2 linked regions of the Lonchura striata genome follow. The protein of the gene in region 2 purifies or fractionates together with the protein of the main gene of each other region. This does not show direct contact. Links are inferred from orthologs where the notes say so. Each region holds a gene or a part of one and is shown on either strand. Other genes may lie near its edges.

Region 1 (7,868 bases), on a different chromosome or scaffold from region 2:
TTAAGAGACACAATCCCCCAAAATTAAAGAGATGTTACACCTGACCACTGCTAGAATTACAAAAGCAGCAGCAGGACAGGTACATTCATCTCAGCCAGGCAGAAGCAACAGCAGCAGCAGGGACAGAATCAGCAGGTAGCTTTGGCCTACATGATGCAGTTCAAGTTTAAGAGGGGTAGAAAAGTATCTTATGTACCACGTCGTTCTCACCCTTGAATCATCCGGGAAGATTGCTCTAGAACTCAACTGCTCTGATGAGAAGAAACTTTCTTTGAATTTCCATCTCAGATTTATCCCTTTCTATTTATAGGCATATCTTCTGCCAAAACTGTTCTTTAGCTTAAATAGCTTTTCTCCCTCTCTTCTTATGTGCTCACAGGAAGGGATCAGATGCCCTCTGCCAGCTTCCATTTCACTTGACTAACACTCTGACTAAACAAAAGCTCAAGATGCATTTTATAGCCACTCTATGAAAGAATAATCAGGGTCCAGAGAGATCAAGCAGCTCATCCAAGATCAAGTCAGCAGTCCATGCCAGACCTTCAAACCAAATCAAAGTGTCTAGTCTAGTTCTTAACAACAAACGTATCCCTGAGCCCATTTAATGGCACTTGAAAATGACAGGACAACACAATTAAATACTTTCTCATTACTAAATAATAAAGTCAAAAAATAGCAGCAGGTGTTGAGTGTGATTACCAAGAGGGTTTCTCACAATTAAATTAGGCACTGCTGTTTGAACCGCTAAACTTTGCAAAAACTCTACTTCATTCAGCTTGAGGGTACAAGAAGAGACAGAATTCTCAAAGCTTTTACATGAAACTTGATGAAGTCTTTTTGCCATCAGAGATGCCTGCTGACTCCCAGAGCCCCATCAAAGACTGTGTGGTTGGCCTGGTTGTTAAAATCAAGGAGGGTGACTAACAGAACATACTGGCATGTAAATGCCACCTTGGACAGAATGCAAGAGCACAGTGTCATGAGAGACACTGGAAAACCCTGTCTGTGATATCCTCTGACAAAGCTACTTTCCAAAAATGCTTCCATCAAGTGCTAAAAGCACTGCTGGAAAGTATCTTCCTGGAGGACTCCATCCTTCCCAGGCTATCCAGTGCATTTCTCACCTACTATAGTGAATTTCTAGTTCTTACCTTCTGTCTAGGGATCATGTGGGAATCAAACACTGTAATGCCTATGCTATGTCCCTAAGAAATGCCAGTTTACCCAGCACAGTTCAAACATCAAACACCATCATGGACTGAGACAGTAGTGCAAGCAAGGAGATGGAAAAAGAGCAGGCAAGAAAGAGAAATGGCTTTTCCCACTGAAGCTGAAGATTCTGGTCTCTAACACATAGTACCTTTACACTGTAGAAAGCAATCTCTGGACTACAGCAAAATTCAGGCAGTAAATCCTACCACTTCTTCTTTCTAGGAGAACACCCTTGAGCTCATGAAGCACTTGCAGAGTTCAAGAAAGGCATCCAGCAGCACCTCTGAGGGTGTCATCTCAACCCAGGCAGAAAACTGTTTCACATACTAAAAAATTTTTGTGTTGCATATTCTGAATGGGCCCTGAGAGTCCCCATTCAGGAGCCTCCTCATATGCTGGATGACTGTACAGAACTTGATGAGTTCCTCTTCTTCACAACCAAAGCAGCCAACATTTTTCAAAAATAAATCTTACAAACCAAAGGTTTGCACCTTTGGGCACTGAGAAATGCCTATCAGCCAGGGATCAGAAGGGGGAATTTCTGCTGCAAAAGCCCTTTGCCTTGCTGACTGCAGAGTGTGTACAACAGAGGGTTTAAAGTCCTTGCATCAGCCTGGTAAACTTCCAGGATGGGGCATACCGGTTTCTGAGGTCTTTTTAAAGATAAAGTATTTGTATGTGTTTACGATGATAAGCAAATGTCTGACTTAGGAACTAAGCAGCTAGATATGGAAATATATCAGGATTTTGATGTGTAACAGTGTTGGGACAGAGTTTAGTGCAACACAGAAGTAACAAATTCATTTAAATCACCGTCTGTATCTACGGATTCAAAGTAAGCTCTGAATTAAATTTAGTCAAGTAATTTTACAGAAAATGAAAACTATGAGATGTCCATTTACGCAAAAGATGACTCAAACATTCCCTAGATACTTCTGAAAATGGATTTTTTTCCATTATAAAGCCAAATTTTAAGAAATATAGCCCATGACCTGCTGAATGAGCAGTCCTTGACTCATCACCACATCAACACAATCAAGTTTGCCTTTTTCTGGATCTGACAGAGTGACTGTACATAAATGGGGATAAAACTTTTTATAAGAACCCCTGCTGACACTAAAAAGGCAAATTCACTTAAGTTTTTCCGCTAGAAACATTTCATTGTTTTCCAGAACACCAACTGCACTCACCTGACTACCCCATGAATTATTCTGGCTACTCACAGCAAGCCTACAGGTCAAAAATCTTACACATCCCCCCCACCCCGCCAGGAAATTTAAAAAAAAAAAAAAAAAAAAAAAGGCAAGTTTTGCTTTTAAAGTCTTCTCTGCCGAGCGCCGGCAGCTGCTGCTCGGGTAGCAGCAGCCAGGGGCCAGCTGCCCGCACCGCGGCCCGAGCCCCGCAGGCAGCAGCAGCGCCCGGCCTTCCTCCCGTCCCGGCCTCCCGCCGGGCAGGGCTGCGCGGAGGCGGCCCCGCCGGCCCGGCCCGGCCTCCCCGCGGAAGCCCGGCCCCCGCCCCGGCCCCGCAGCGCCGGGGGCGCCGCCGAACGGCCCCGCGGCACCGCTCTCCCGCTTCCCCCGGCCCTCCCGCCCCAGGCGCTGCCGAGGGCAGCCGTCGGCAGCGCCCGGGCAAGCGAGCTGCGTGCGGGGAGCGCCCGCCGCCCCGCCCGTACTCACCCGAGGGGAGCGGGAGGCTACCCGGGAGGCGCCGGCGCCCGCGGAGCTTGCGCGGGAAGCACCATCTTTGTTGAAGGCAGCAGGGCGCCGCCGGAAGCCGCCGCCGCCGCCCTGCTGCGGGCCGGCCGAGGAGGGGCGGCCGCTGCCGGCCGGAGCGCGGGAGGGGCCGCGCCCGCCGTGCCAGCCGCGGGGGCCGGGACCGGGACCGGGGCCGAGCGGCCGCAGTGCCAGCCGCGGGGGCCGGGACCGGGACCGGGGCCGGGACCGGGGCCGAGCGGCCGCAGTGCTAGCCGCGGGGGCCGGGACCGGGGCCGGGGCCGGGACCGGGGCCGAGCGGCCGCAGTGCTAGCCGCGGGGGCCGGGACCGGGGCCGGGACCGGGACCGGGGCCGAGCGGCCGCAGTGCTAGCCGCGGGGGCCGGGACCGGGGCCGGGACCGGGGCCGAGCGGCCGCAGTGCCAGCCGCGGGGGCCGGGGCCGGGGCCGAGCGGCCGCAGTGCCAGCCGCGGGGGCCGGGACCGAGCGCTGGAAGGGGCCCGGCGCTGCCGCCGCTGCTCCTTGCCGCGGCCGGGGCCGGGGCGGGGACGGGAGGTGACTCCGCCAAGGAGGTGCCTTTCCAGGAATTCGGAGGACCTGCTGCGCTATCAGGAGTCAGGGTGGTGGTGGGGGTGTTTAGTGAGGAGAGGGGTTGTATCCAAAATTAAATTCGGAATTACGAAATTGCAGTTTTAATGATATTAGAAACAGCTGATCTCATTACTCCCTAGGTACACTGGTTGCTATCTGTGAGTATGCGCTAAGCTGAACTTCATCCTGGTGCTGGCATCGTCGTATCAAACACAGAGCAGTATTATATCGAATAATGGACACATTTAGCTTCATTACTTTCATCTGAACAGCTTAAAAATGAAGAATCTTTTAATAGATGAAAATAATTTATTAAATTAAGAGCTGGCCTGTGTCTACCACAATGCTATGGACATTCTGTTGTTTTATTCCTCTACTAGTGAATAGTGTATTATTCACTTATTTTTATATGGATACCTGGAAACGAAATATGGTAGAGAGGAGAAGAGTGTGATTCACAGAGCTGTAAAAATGAGGTGGTGTCACTTTCACTCACACATCATGAAATAACTTTTTTCCGTCTTTGCATAGGTGTCAGGTGTCACACGGGATTGATGGTGTCAGCCCTTTTTCTTTCATGTCGGGACCGCAATAGTGATGAAAGGGGAAAAAAAAGATCTTCCAGTGCTGGAACGTACTACCTTTGAAGCTGCAGGCAGGCACAGCAAGCTGGCTGTGGTCTGCACAGCGTGCTAATACCTACCCTCTGGAAAAGCAGGAAAAGTGGTTGCTGCAGCTGCTGCTAGAAACGTCGTCACCTTGTGAACCCCATTTGTACACTCTGTTTAGACTAATTGTACAAATTTAAGGGTATTTGAAATATTTAAGGGTAGTTGGAAGCTAGTTGTGGAAACCTTTACATGCCTTTCCTAGATACTGTACCCAGGAAACTGTACTGTACTGTACTTGCCATGGAAAAATGTAACCAAGAGTAGAGTTCACATTCTGCCTATGCTTAACATTATATTTATCTACAAGATTTTGCATAAAGATAGGCAGTCACACTCAGGAATCTTAATTCCTTTTCCTTTGATTTTCCTGTGGCTGACAGTTGAAAATTTATGTGGACACAGAATGTAAATCAGCCTTAAAGGCAAAGTTTGTATGCTGGTTTTAAGAAATGTTTTAAAAATATAGATACATATATCATGTGGCCAGCTTCTGCAGGGATGCTACTTATTTGGCAGTTTTAAAGCAGTGTTTTGGTTTCATGACATAACACTTTTATCTATAATTATATATAAGTAATAAATTGGATACAGGGGGTTAAATTGCTTGTGAATAATTGATAAATAATATCTTCTTACAATACAGCTGGTAAACCAAGGTAAATATTTTTTTTGTCTCAGGCACATGTTAGTCTTCTAGGAATGAAGATATAAAAAAATCTAAATACTCCTCTGGGTTGTTTCAGAGCAATGCATTAACATATTTGACAACACTGGAAGCCACACAAGTAAGTCATCATCATCAGTAACTCCAAGAAGTATGCTGCTGTTGTAGCCAAAGTACAACTGAGGTGGTGTTAAATTTTCTTGCCACAACGTTTGTAATACTAGTTGTGAGGAGATACGTTTGCAAACAGTACAGCACAGCTCCAGGGAGCAGAGACACCACAAACTGCCTGTATGATTGTTCCTCAACAGAGCACTGCATAGCTACTGAGAGTTTCCTGTCCCAGCTTCTTGTACTTCTGATTGTCAGTGCTGCTGGTTTTCTCTCTCTTCCTTCCTTTCTTCCTTTTTCTTCCTTTCTTTCCTTTCTTTTCTTTACTTCCTTTTCTTTCTTTCTGTCATGATCTAAGGGTCTGTATTATATCTGGAATTGGAGTGACCAAACTTGGAGGCTTCAGAAAATCTCATCATTGCAATCCTGACAGCTGCTTTTAATTGCAGATAATGTGGCTGCATTTTAAAATAGAAAATTAGGACAAGCAGTTACATCACTTTATTTACTATATCCTTTTGCCAGATGAGGCAATTTGATTTTTTAAATTTATACTATCCAAGAATGTCTTAGAAAGTTAGCAAAACATATGGATATGCATAGAGCGACTCCAGATTTCATTCAAGGAAATTACAGCAGTTATACAGTCAGCATTTAGTCATGTATTTGCTTGCAGTCTGAACAAAGATAGAAAGAAGGAAAGCAGTGAAAGGAAAGAGATAAGCCTAGGAAGGAAGAGGACAGCACCAGAGGTCCAAATCTCATTAAGGGAAAATCTGGCCCTTCCTTTTCCCCCCACTAGTTAATAACTAGTGCTGCAAATTTATTTAGTGGAAACTAAATATGCTACTGTGTTTTGGGTTCATCTTTAGCAACACAGACAGCTTTTGATTATATAGTACAGGTACAGGATAAAGACACAAAGAGTTAATACTTTAAATCCAAGGAGAGAAGTCCTTAAATTCTTTGTTTCAGTCCATTTTGGGTTCAACCCTCACTAAAGGTCTTCCACTTCTGGTCCAAGTTCAACAAAACTTCAGAGACATGGTTTGGTTCTACTTCAGTTTTAAGGACAAATAAATACATATATATATATTTTAGCCAGTTTGGTGTCAATTCAATGCCCCACTAACTGCTCAAATCTCAAAGCTAACCATGTAGATTAAAGAACTATTTCCTAGAATACAATGATCAATGGACTATAGTCAATCTTCCGCATCAGTATCCTCAGACTTTTAGTCTTAAAAGCTTGTGCTGTCTGGTTCTGCAGATTGAGGGGCCATCGGTGCTCATCAGGCCACACTTTTAAGGACTGCTGAATTCAGGGTCACAAGTCCAAATCTTTGGGAGCCAAGCTAAGCAGTATCTCTTCTGGCAATGCTATTCATTTTACATGTAAGTTAAGCCAGATTTTTACATTTATTATGCACCTTTTAAAAGCTCACTTAAAAGTCACAAACCTTTTTAGAAACTGTACCAGAATAATGAGATTTTTTAAATGCTTTTGAGAGGATCCTTTATGCTAATTAGAGTCAAGCTGTATCTAAGCATGTGTGTAATTTGTTTTCTACAGACTAGTTTGTTTTATGCTGATAACGAGGCCAAATGTGTTCTTAAAACTGGCACAAGCAGATTTAATGTATTAGGATTGTGCTGTTTTCAATTGTTTGCAGGACAGCATTCCAGCTTTAGGGACAAGAGAAAAAATAGGAGCCTCTAGATTTGTTTATTAAAAGCACATCTAATTGGTTAAATCTCTCACAAAACCTCAGAAATTAAGGGAAAAGAGAAATACATCTTGTATGCTTGCCTGTCAGTTTTATGAAAGAGTGCAGTGAACATTTCTGTAAGTCATGCATCTCAAAAACAGTGTTAAAATGTAAGTTAGGGTGAGCCAAACTAGGTGGCCTGAAGGCCAGATGAGGGTCTTGCAAACCATTGCTGTCCACTGCTATCCCAGGCAGTAACCCCTTCCCTTCCCCCCTCTTCTCTTCCTCCTTCCCCTGGTCCCCATTGCACTCCCCTTTGCAGCCGTGGGCCTCTGTAATGCTAACATCCAAATCTCCTGTGCCAGTCACTGAAAACCTGGCTGATGCCAAGGAAGGGAAGGGTTTGGTATAGAAAGTTTCCCCAAACTGTAGACCAAATCTTAGGCATGCTGTGCTGGATGCTGGCAGGATATGAGGGCACTAGATGCTCAGATGGGAAGGGGTGCTCTTGAGAAGCTCTTCAGGTGGCTTTTGCTACTCGAAAAATGATTCCTTATCCTTCCTAAAAAAAGATGACAGGCAGGACTGAAGCACATCACTGAAAGGGATTGGCCCTTGGGCTGCTGTGCAATTGTTCTGATACTCTGTAACTTTCATTCATTTAAATAATAAAGACTTTAAATTCAATGCAGATCAAAGAGAGGAATTACTATAAAATATAGGTGACACGTCATGAACTTCCTTGAAAGTAGTATTTTATTAAAAGGCACGTCCAGCACGTGGGTAAAATATAACACAGAAAGTTCTAAAGCATCTTAAAACATAGGGTTTAAACTGACTCTGTAGTGTCTATACATTTACATTTGTTTCCATAATAAAAATAAGTATTTATTAGCAGTACTGCAATGAATTCTTAGTGCTTTTTACTATGATACAAATAATCTCTAGCAAAAAGTTTAATGATAAATAATTATAAAAAGGAAGCAGGCATCCACTGCAAAACTTTTGTATACATTTCATTTAAAAAATCCAGTGAATTAAAAAAAAAAAGTGTAATTAATACTTGCAAAACATGACTCAGTATTTCTCAGAATTTGTAGTCCTTTAAACATATGAATTAATGTAGTTCTCTATTTTTAAGTTTAATTTAAAGACTCTTTGAGGAGACGGATGAAATACTGCAAGCCTCTTATTATTTA
Region 2 (7,833 bases):
GGACTGTCACCAGGAGATTGCTGTGGAGATGCAGCCGACGCAGAGACTTCAAATTGGCTGCAGGTTGGAACAAGAAATGACCCCCCATCCGTGCTGTTAATTGCATTGCATATCAGCTCCAACCCTCTCTCCTCAGCCCATGTCAACACACACATAATGAGGGAAAAGCACAAAAGCTTAACAGCAGCAAAATCAGCCTCAGTCACAAAGTAATACAGGACCCAGGATGCTGGCCAGCAGAAGTCAGGGCCCAGTTCTGTGGACTGGTCCACACTGGACAGTGTGATTTCAAGCCCAGATTCTCATCCCACCAACCTCAGCTCTTCTGCTACCCAAAACCAGCCAGGCCAGATCCTCAGTCATTGTAAATTGTATTGAAATTTCAGCAGTGTTTATGATTCACAGAAACAGGAAGTGTGATCCAGAGTTGTTAATGCTCAAAGGCACTGACTGAACCAAGCAGTATCCTTCTGCATACCCCTTCCATTTGGCTCCAACATAAAATAGTTTATGCTAACAGCTCTGGGGTAGAGACCAAGAGTCTCAGAGGTTGTACCAAAAGCTTGGCAAAGCCCACGTCCTTCTCTTCCCCAATAAAATACATACCTAGGGATTCTGGGATGCTTAATAAGCGATTCCCAGAGAGATCCAGCTCTGTACAGTTGTGCAGATTCCCAACTTCTTCAGGGAGCAGTTCCAAAGCATTTTCTGAGAGATCCAGATCCTGCAGCAATGACAGCTCCCCAATGCTCTGAGGTAAGTCTTTCAGCTGATTTTTCATTGCAGAGAAGAAAGTCAGTTTACTCAGAGAGCCAAAGTCCTCAGGAAGTGTCATCAGGCTGTTGTGGCTCACCAGGAGCACACGGAGGCTGGGGAGGTGGAGAATGCAGCTCGGCAAGGTGGAGAGTCTATTGAAGCTGAGATCCAGGTGGGTAAGACACCTGAGGTCCCCAAAGTCAGGTGGCAAGCTTGTCAGGGAGCCATGTTGATAGGAACCAAACTCATCCCTAGCAAGGCCACCTGGGTGGAGGGAAATGGAAGAGGTCAGTATGCTACCAGGAGAGCTCACCAGCCTCATGTGAGACTCAGCACAGAGATTCACAAGATTGGGAGTTACTGATAACAATGAGCAGCACTAATCACAAAGTGCTCAGATAAGTGAGTTTTCTGCTCCGTGCCTGTTTCCTGATCAGTGAAAGGAGTGTAACAGTGAAGAGCTGTTATGAAACCAGGAGATACCACAGTGAACCAGTACAGCTCTGTTCAACACATCTGGAGTGAAAGCTCAGAATGAGCCACGCCACCCCACACATTTACCACACTTCAGCAGGATGGCCCATATACCTCCAAGCCTCCCACTCTCCTTCCTCACTTCTTCCTCACTACCAGTGGCCAACGCACAAGACTTTCTGGATCAAGGAAATAGTCCTTGCCCTCAATGATTTATCCATGCTGTTCAGAAGCAAACAGCCCTGAGGACTGGTATCTGCCCTTGCAAGACTGGGGGGCACGTCTGAGCAGGGAAAATGCGGGAGGAAAAAGCAAGTAATTCAGTATTTTCTAGGCAGACAGGAGGAAAGCAGTGAAAATGTGTGTGGGGGAAGTAGGTAATTCAGTATTTTGTAGGCAGACACAGAGAGCAAAGAATGAAAGTTCCGTATCCCAGCTTGTGACACTCAAGTTAGAGAAGGGCTGCAGCCCTGGAAAATAACTTGAGCAAACAAAAGGAAACTTCCAAATGTTCCACTTATTCATTGTTTCATACTCCTTCTCTACTGTTTTCTATTTATATCCATATACAGCAGAGGGCACCAAACATTTTTTTATGCTGCATAATGGTACAAAATGAGAACAAGCAAATAGGCACATTGCACTTTGTACATAAGAGCTTACTGAACTAGGCACATTGCACTTTGTACATAAGATCTTACTGAACTACTTTATTGCACTTCAGAATGCTCAGGGTGTGTGTACATCTCACAAAACAAGACTGATAAAGGTTACTGCTGTTATTGCCACCTTACTAAAGGGGGAAAACACAAATCAAATTATTCACATGAAAATTTATGACAGATATAGAAGCAAACCTTAGACTTTTCAGTTTTCAGCTGGAACCCTGAATTCTGCCCCAAAACTCCCCTTTTTTTTCTCATTTATTTTTAAAATTCTACCTCCCAAAGAGCAAATTATTCAGTCTGACACAGAAACAATGCTTGTTGTATTGAGATCCTACCACAATAAATTGATGAGACAGTCCAAGAATGATCTAATATTTATAGCTCTAACAGTTATCACACTTTTCTAAATTACATGCACACCCTGTGTCCTACTTTACATAAAATGTCAAACAGCATTTTCTGGTCTGTCTTGAACTTTGCTAAACTTACACTAAGCAAGACTAAATAGGGGCTGAACATTCACCAAAAGATTCAACACCTTTCAATCCCTCTTCTTGCATAACTGCAAAAATGCTCTTCTTCTAGAGAATGGCTATAGAAAATGCTGCAGCATCAACTGAACGAGACTCCAAAAACCCAGTCCCCAGGCAGCTGTAAAAACAAAGGGAGGAAATAAGAGTCCAGAAGCTGTATCATGTTGAAATCTGCATTCAGCTCTGAGCAAGGCTGAGCCAAAGCTGAGGTAAGGGGCACTGGAACAAAACACTTCCAAGGACAGTTTGTCCTGCAGATATGGAGAGAAGGATAAAAAATATGAGCTTAGAAAAGCTGGATGGCGACGGACCCCAGAATTTACCTTTAAGCACCAGGGATTTCAGGTGCTTCAGATGAGGAAGGCTGCCCAGTGTGGTGTCAAGGAGGCAATCGTTGCTGCTGAGCCGGAGGAACTCAACCTGGACCACCTCTCCCTGTTGCTCCTTGAATAGCTGGAGGAAACGGCGGCAGCCGTCAGGATAAACATCCAGGTTCAGTCTGTTGTCAGCAAGGCAGGAGCCAGCGAGGGCAGGAGCCCCCACAGTCCCCTCCTCACACTCATCCCTGAGCCCCAGCAGCTCTGCCATCTTCTGCATCTCATCCACAGGGTCTAGACATGCTCTGACTTGCCAGGCAGGCAGGCACTGGCAGCACCACAAGGCAGCTGGGACAAGGAGAGGAGCAAAGATGGCTCTGAAAAAGAACACAGGTACACAATGAAGCTTCCTGCCCCAGTCCAGAGTGGCTGGAAACAGTTCATAATCACAGCAAGATGGTAGGAAAGATTACATGCATGCTACTGAAAGCTTTGGAGCAAAGAGCACAGAAATGCAACATGACAGATGTCACAGGGGCTTCTCCTCCTAGAGAAAAACCTCTGAATTTTTCCAGCCAACATCTCAGCAGGAAATGGAGCAATTATGCACCATCAGAATAAAGACCAATATTAACTTTAAAAGACACAAATGTAAATGCCTACGCCTAATGTAGATTTCAAGATGCCTTAGTAGGAAGCTTTACAAGTAGAGAAGAAAACTGGGGCAGGGAGAGCTGAGCCAGAAGCAGAGCCCAGAGGTGACAGACTGTGACAGGTCCCCATCAAACCCGGTTGTGAAACCCAGTGTCAATGGGATAAAAGCAAATGGACAAAGGGCAGCAGAGAAAATGTGATAGGGGCAGCAAGAGGGTTAGAAAAGGCATGTTGGTGGTGCAGGAGTAACACCTCCTGAGCTGGGCAATTAAACTAGCTCACAGTGTGAATATCAGGAGCTCTTTGTTAACCCTGCCATGGATCAAACTGGTAAACAGAAGTTTCTTTTGAGTAATGCAGAATTAGAACAAACTTGGCTTTAAAGTCCAAGGCCAGCAGAAAGAAGATAATGCCCCAGCAACACCCTGAGGAGCAGCACCTTTACTGTTAGCCTGTGGGACATGGCAGCACTGATGTTCCCAAGACACAGTCTGGGGGAGGCGTCATCCCCTGAAGCAGCAGAAATGCCTCACTCTGAAAGGACAGAAATGTAAAGGCAAGAAGAAGAGGAAGCAGAGCCCAGAGGCAGCTCACAAATTGTACTGGGTCCTCGTTGAACCTGGTTTGAGAAACTGAGTGCCAATGGGATAAAAGTGAAACTACTGCTTTAGTATAAAGGTGAGCACTTCTTACAAAGACATTGTGCACAACATGTACATATCCCCCTTACAGACACATGTAAGAATAAAATCCATCAGCTATAGCTTTGTAAAACTGTCAGTGGTGAAGGAACCAGAGGGCATCTCCAGAAGCCACAGAGGCGGCCTCAGGGGCAACAGACATGGGTAGACATGGTGCTGCAGACACTCTGAAACACACATCTTCACATGGACACACAGCCCTGCACGTGGACACACACCCGCACACAGACACACAGCCTGCACACGGACACACACCCCACACACGGACACACACACCACGCATATGGACACACACACACCGCACACAGACACGCACCCCGCACACGGACACACAGCCCGCACATACACACACAGCCCGCATACGGACACACACACCCCGCATACGGACACACACACCCCGCACACAGACACACACACCCCGCACATAGACACACACACACACCCCGCACACGGACATGCACCCCGCACACGGACACGCACCCTGCACATGGACACACACCCCGCACACGGACACGCACCCTGCACATGGACACACACAGCCCCGCGCGTGGACACACACAGCCCGAACACAGACACACACTCCGCACACGGACACGCACCCCGCACACGGACATGCACCCCGCACACGGACACGCACCCTGCACATGGACACACACCCCGCACACGGACACGCACCCTGCACATGGACACACACAGCCCCGCGCGTGGACACACACAGCCCGAACACAGACACACACTCCGCACACGGACACGCACCCCGCACACGGACACGCACACCCTGCATATGGACACACACAGCCCCGCGCATGGACACGCACACCCCGCACATAGACACACACTCCGCACACGGACACACACACCCGCACACGGACACACACACCCCGCACATAGACACACACAGCCCTGCACACGGACACACACAGCCCCGCACACGGACACGCACCCCGCACATGGACACACACAGCCCCCCGCATGGACACACACACCCCGCACACAGACACGGACACACACCCCGCACACGGACACGCACAGCCGGGCCGGGCTGTCCGCAGCACGCTGTGCCCCTGGCCCGTCACCCCACGCCGCTGCCCAGGTCCCGGCAGCAGCCGCAGGCGCGCCCCGTGCCCGGCCGAGCACGGCCCCGCCGCTCTCACCCCTCCGCAGCGGCCCCGGCCCGCCGGGGCTGGGCTGCGCCGGGCTCTGCCCGCCACTTCCTGAAAAGTTCTTGGGAGCCGCGCCGCGATCCGGGGCGGGACGGCGCGGGGGAGGCGCTGGAGGCAGCGGGACATCGGCCGGCTGCTATGGGGAGCCGTGCCCTTCCTGCTGCCACAGCAAGGGCACGAAAGGAGATTTCCCGACACGGCCACGGTCCCGGCACCGCAGCCCGTCCCGTCTGGCTCCCCTAGGCTCCAAGGGAGAGGGAGGCACGGGCACCGCCGGGGGTTGTGCTCATTCCAGGGAGAGAAATGGAGCAGGGGCTGCGAGCCTAAGAGTGCGCAGGGCTGGGGCTGCCCTGAAAGGAGGTTTGTAGCCAGGTGGGGTTCAGCCTCTTCTCCCAAGAAACAAGCGACAGGACAGGAGGACATGCTCTCCAGCTGATGTCCAGGTTCAGGCTGGACATCAGGAAGAATTTCTTCATAGAAAGGGTGCTCAGGCATTAGAACGACATGCCCGGGGAACTGATCTAGTCACCATCTCTGGAAGCGTTTAAGGAAGGACTGGATGTGGCACTCAGTGCCATGGTCTAGTTGACAAGGTGGTGTTTGGTCACAGGTTGGACTTGAAGGTCTCAGAAGACCTTCCCAACTGAATTCATTCTGGGACTCTGGATGCAAGCTGCACGTGGCTGAGGGAAATTCCTCTTCCTACACATAGTAGACAGTAACCACTGACTACTCCAGGCTCTGGCTGAGTTGTAGCACTCTGAGCCTGGTTGTTTTCTGAGAGCACCTGAACTAGCACAGAAGCCCCAACACTGAGGATCTCTGGGGCACCTCCAGGGCAGCAAGGCAGGGACAGCCACAGCCCACACACAGCTCTGCTGCTGAACCAGCACTCCTGGTTTGTTTGGGTCCAATGGCTTTCAGCGCAGTGTTAACTTTTTACTTCTATTAATTTCCTCAGTGCAGGAAATCAAGTGAACAAGCACAGGTGGTGACTCCCATAATCCTATGGCGAGACCTTGCCATGGATTACCACCTCCCAGCCTCCCAGCACAGGACAGCAGCCCTGTCCCTCCTGCACAGAGCCCTGCTGTCCCACAAGCGGGTTCTGTCACCCAGTGTGCAAGAAGCCGATCCACACATGGAGCTGAGGTATTTCACAGAACCACAAAGCTACTCAGATTGGAAAAGACCTCCAAGGTCATTCAGTCCAACCCATGACAACTAGACCATGGCACTGAGTACCACGTCCAGTCTTTCCTTAAACACCTCTAGGGAAGATGATTCCACCATTGCCCTGGGCAGTCTATTCCAATGTCTAATCACCCTTTGTGTGAAGACATTCTTCTGAATATATAAGCTGAACCTTTCCTGACACAGTTTGAGGTCTTTTCCTGTTGCTAATTGCCTGGGAGAAGAGGTTAAACCCTGCCTTTCTACAACCTCCTTTCAGGTGGCTGTACAAAGTGCTAAGGTCACCCCTGAGCCCACTTTTTCCAGGCTAAACACCCCCAACTCCCTCAGCTGCTCCTCACAAGACTTGTGCTCCAGACCCTTTGCCAGCTCCATTGCCCTTCTCCAGACACATTCCAGCACCTCAATGTCTGTATTGAAGTGAGGGGCTCAGAACTGGACACAGGGCTCGAGGGGTGGCCTCACTTGTGCCAAGTACAGAGGGATGCTCACTTCCCTAATCCTGCCGGCCACTCCAAGATCATTAAGTTCCACCACTGACCAACTAGACCAAAGCTAACTAGTACATCCAGCTGTTCCCAGAACACCTCTGGGACAATGGCTCCACCACCTCCCTGGGGAGCTTTTTCCAATGCCTGACCACCCTTTCCATGAAGAAATGCAGAGCCAGGCACTGACTTTCTGGATTCATCACCCACTGCCCATCTCTGCACTGATACAAAATAAGCAAATATGAAGACTGTGTGTGAATGTGCCTGATGTGCACATGGAGGCAGAACCCAACTGATGGGACAAAGAGAGGGGATTGTGCTGATCCTGCCAGGCCAGGCCAGGATTCCAGAATTGGAGGACAGTATTAAGCTGTGCCAGGAGAGGTTTAGGTTGAACATCAGCAGTAATTTCTCCACAGAAAGAGTGGTCAGGCTTTGGAACAGGCTGCCCGGGACTGGTGGTGCTGGAGGTGTCTAAGGAAAGATTGAATGTGGCACTCAGTGCCATGTTCTAGCTGACAGAGTGGTATTCGGTAAGAGGTTGGCCTGGATGGTCGCAGCGGTGTTTTCCAGTCTCATTCACTCTGTGACTCCGTGATTTTGGGGAACCACACCCATCCCAGCACACACAACAAGGCCGCGCAGCAGCACACAGCGGGCACCCCACGCTCTGCGCATGCGCCGCCGGCCGCGCTGGCGGCGGCCGCACCCGCGGTTCCCCATTGGCCTGCGCGCTGCCCGCCGGTGCGGCCCAATGGCAGCGCTCGTTGTTGAGGGGTGGCGGGAAGAAGGCGTTGCCGAGGCCCCGCCCCTTCCTTTCGCCTCCGCCTGCCCTCGCGCGCGCACGTCCCAGGCCGCCGTCCCGCGCCGCCGCCGCCGCCC

Evidence for each region. Proteins that work in one complex are often made in the same cells at the same time.
Region 1: the proteins of PIDD1 (region 2) and CRADD purify together in Homo sapiens (affinity purification with western blotting; 8 studies listed by BioGRID and IntAct, with this or other methods). This does not show direct contact. The link is inferred for Lonchura striata from reciprocal best matches to the Homo sapiens genes PIDD1 and CRADD.

What each region holds. Positions count from the first base shown.
Region 1 is NC_134607.1:53,676,142-53,684,009, reverse strand, and holds the start of CRADD (death domain-containing protein CRADD), read right to left. Parts: upstream 3,026-7,868; 5' UTR 2,889-3,025; intron 2,485-2,888; exon of another isoform or gene 2,403-2,484; intron 1-2,402. UniProt on the Homo sapiens protein: Adapter protein that associates with PIDD1 and the caspase CASP2 to form the PIDDosome, a complex that activates CASP2 and triggers apoptosis.
Region 2 is NC_134608.1:44,802,593-44,810,425, forward strand, and holds the start of PIDD1 (p53-induced death domain-containing protein 1), read right to left. Parts: upstream 3,076-7,833; 5' UTR 3,029-3,075; coding exon 2,755-3,028; intron 1,021-2,754; coding exon 607-1,020; intron 58-606; coding exon 1-57. UniProt on the Homo sapiens protein: Component of the DNA damage/stress response pathway that functions downstream of p53/TP53 and can either promote cell survival or apoptosis.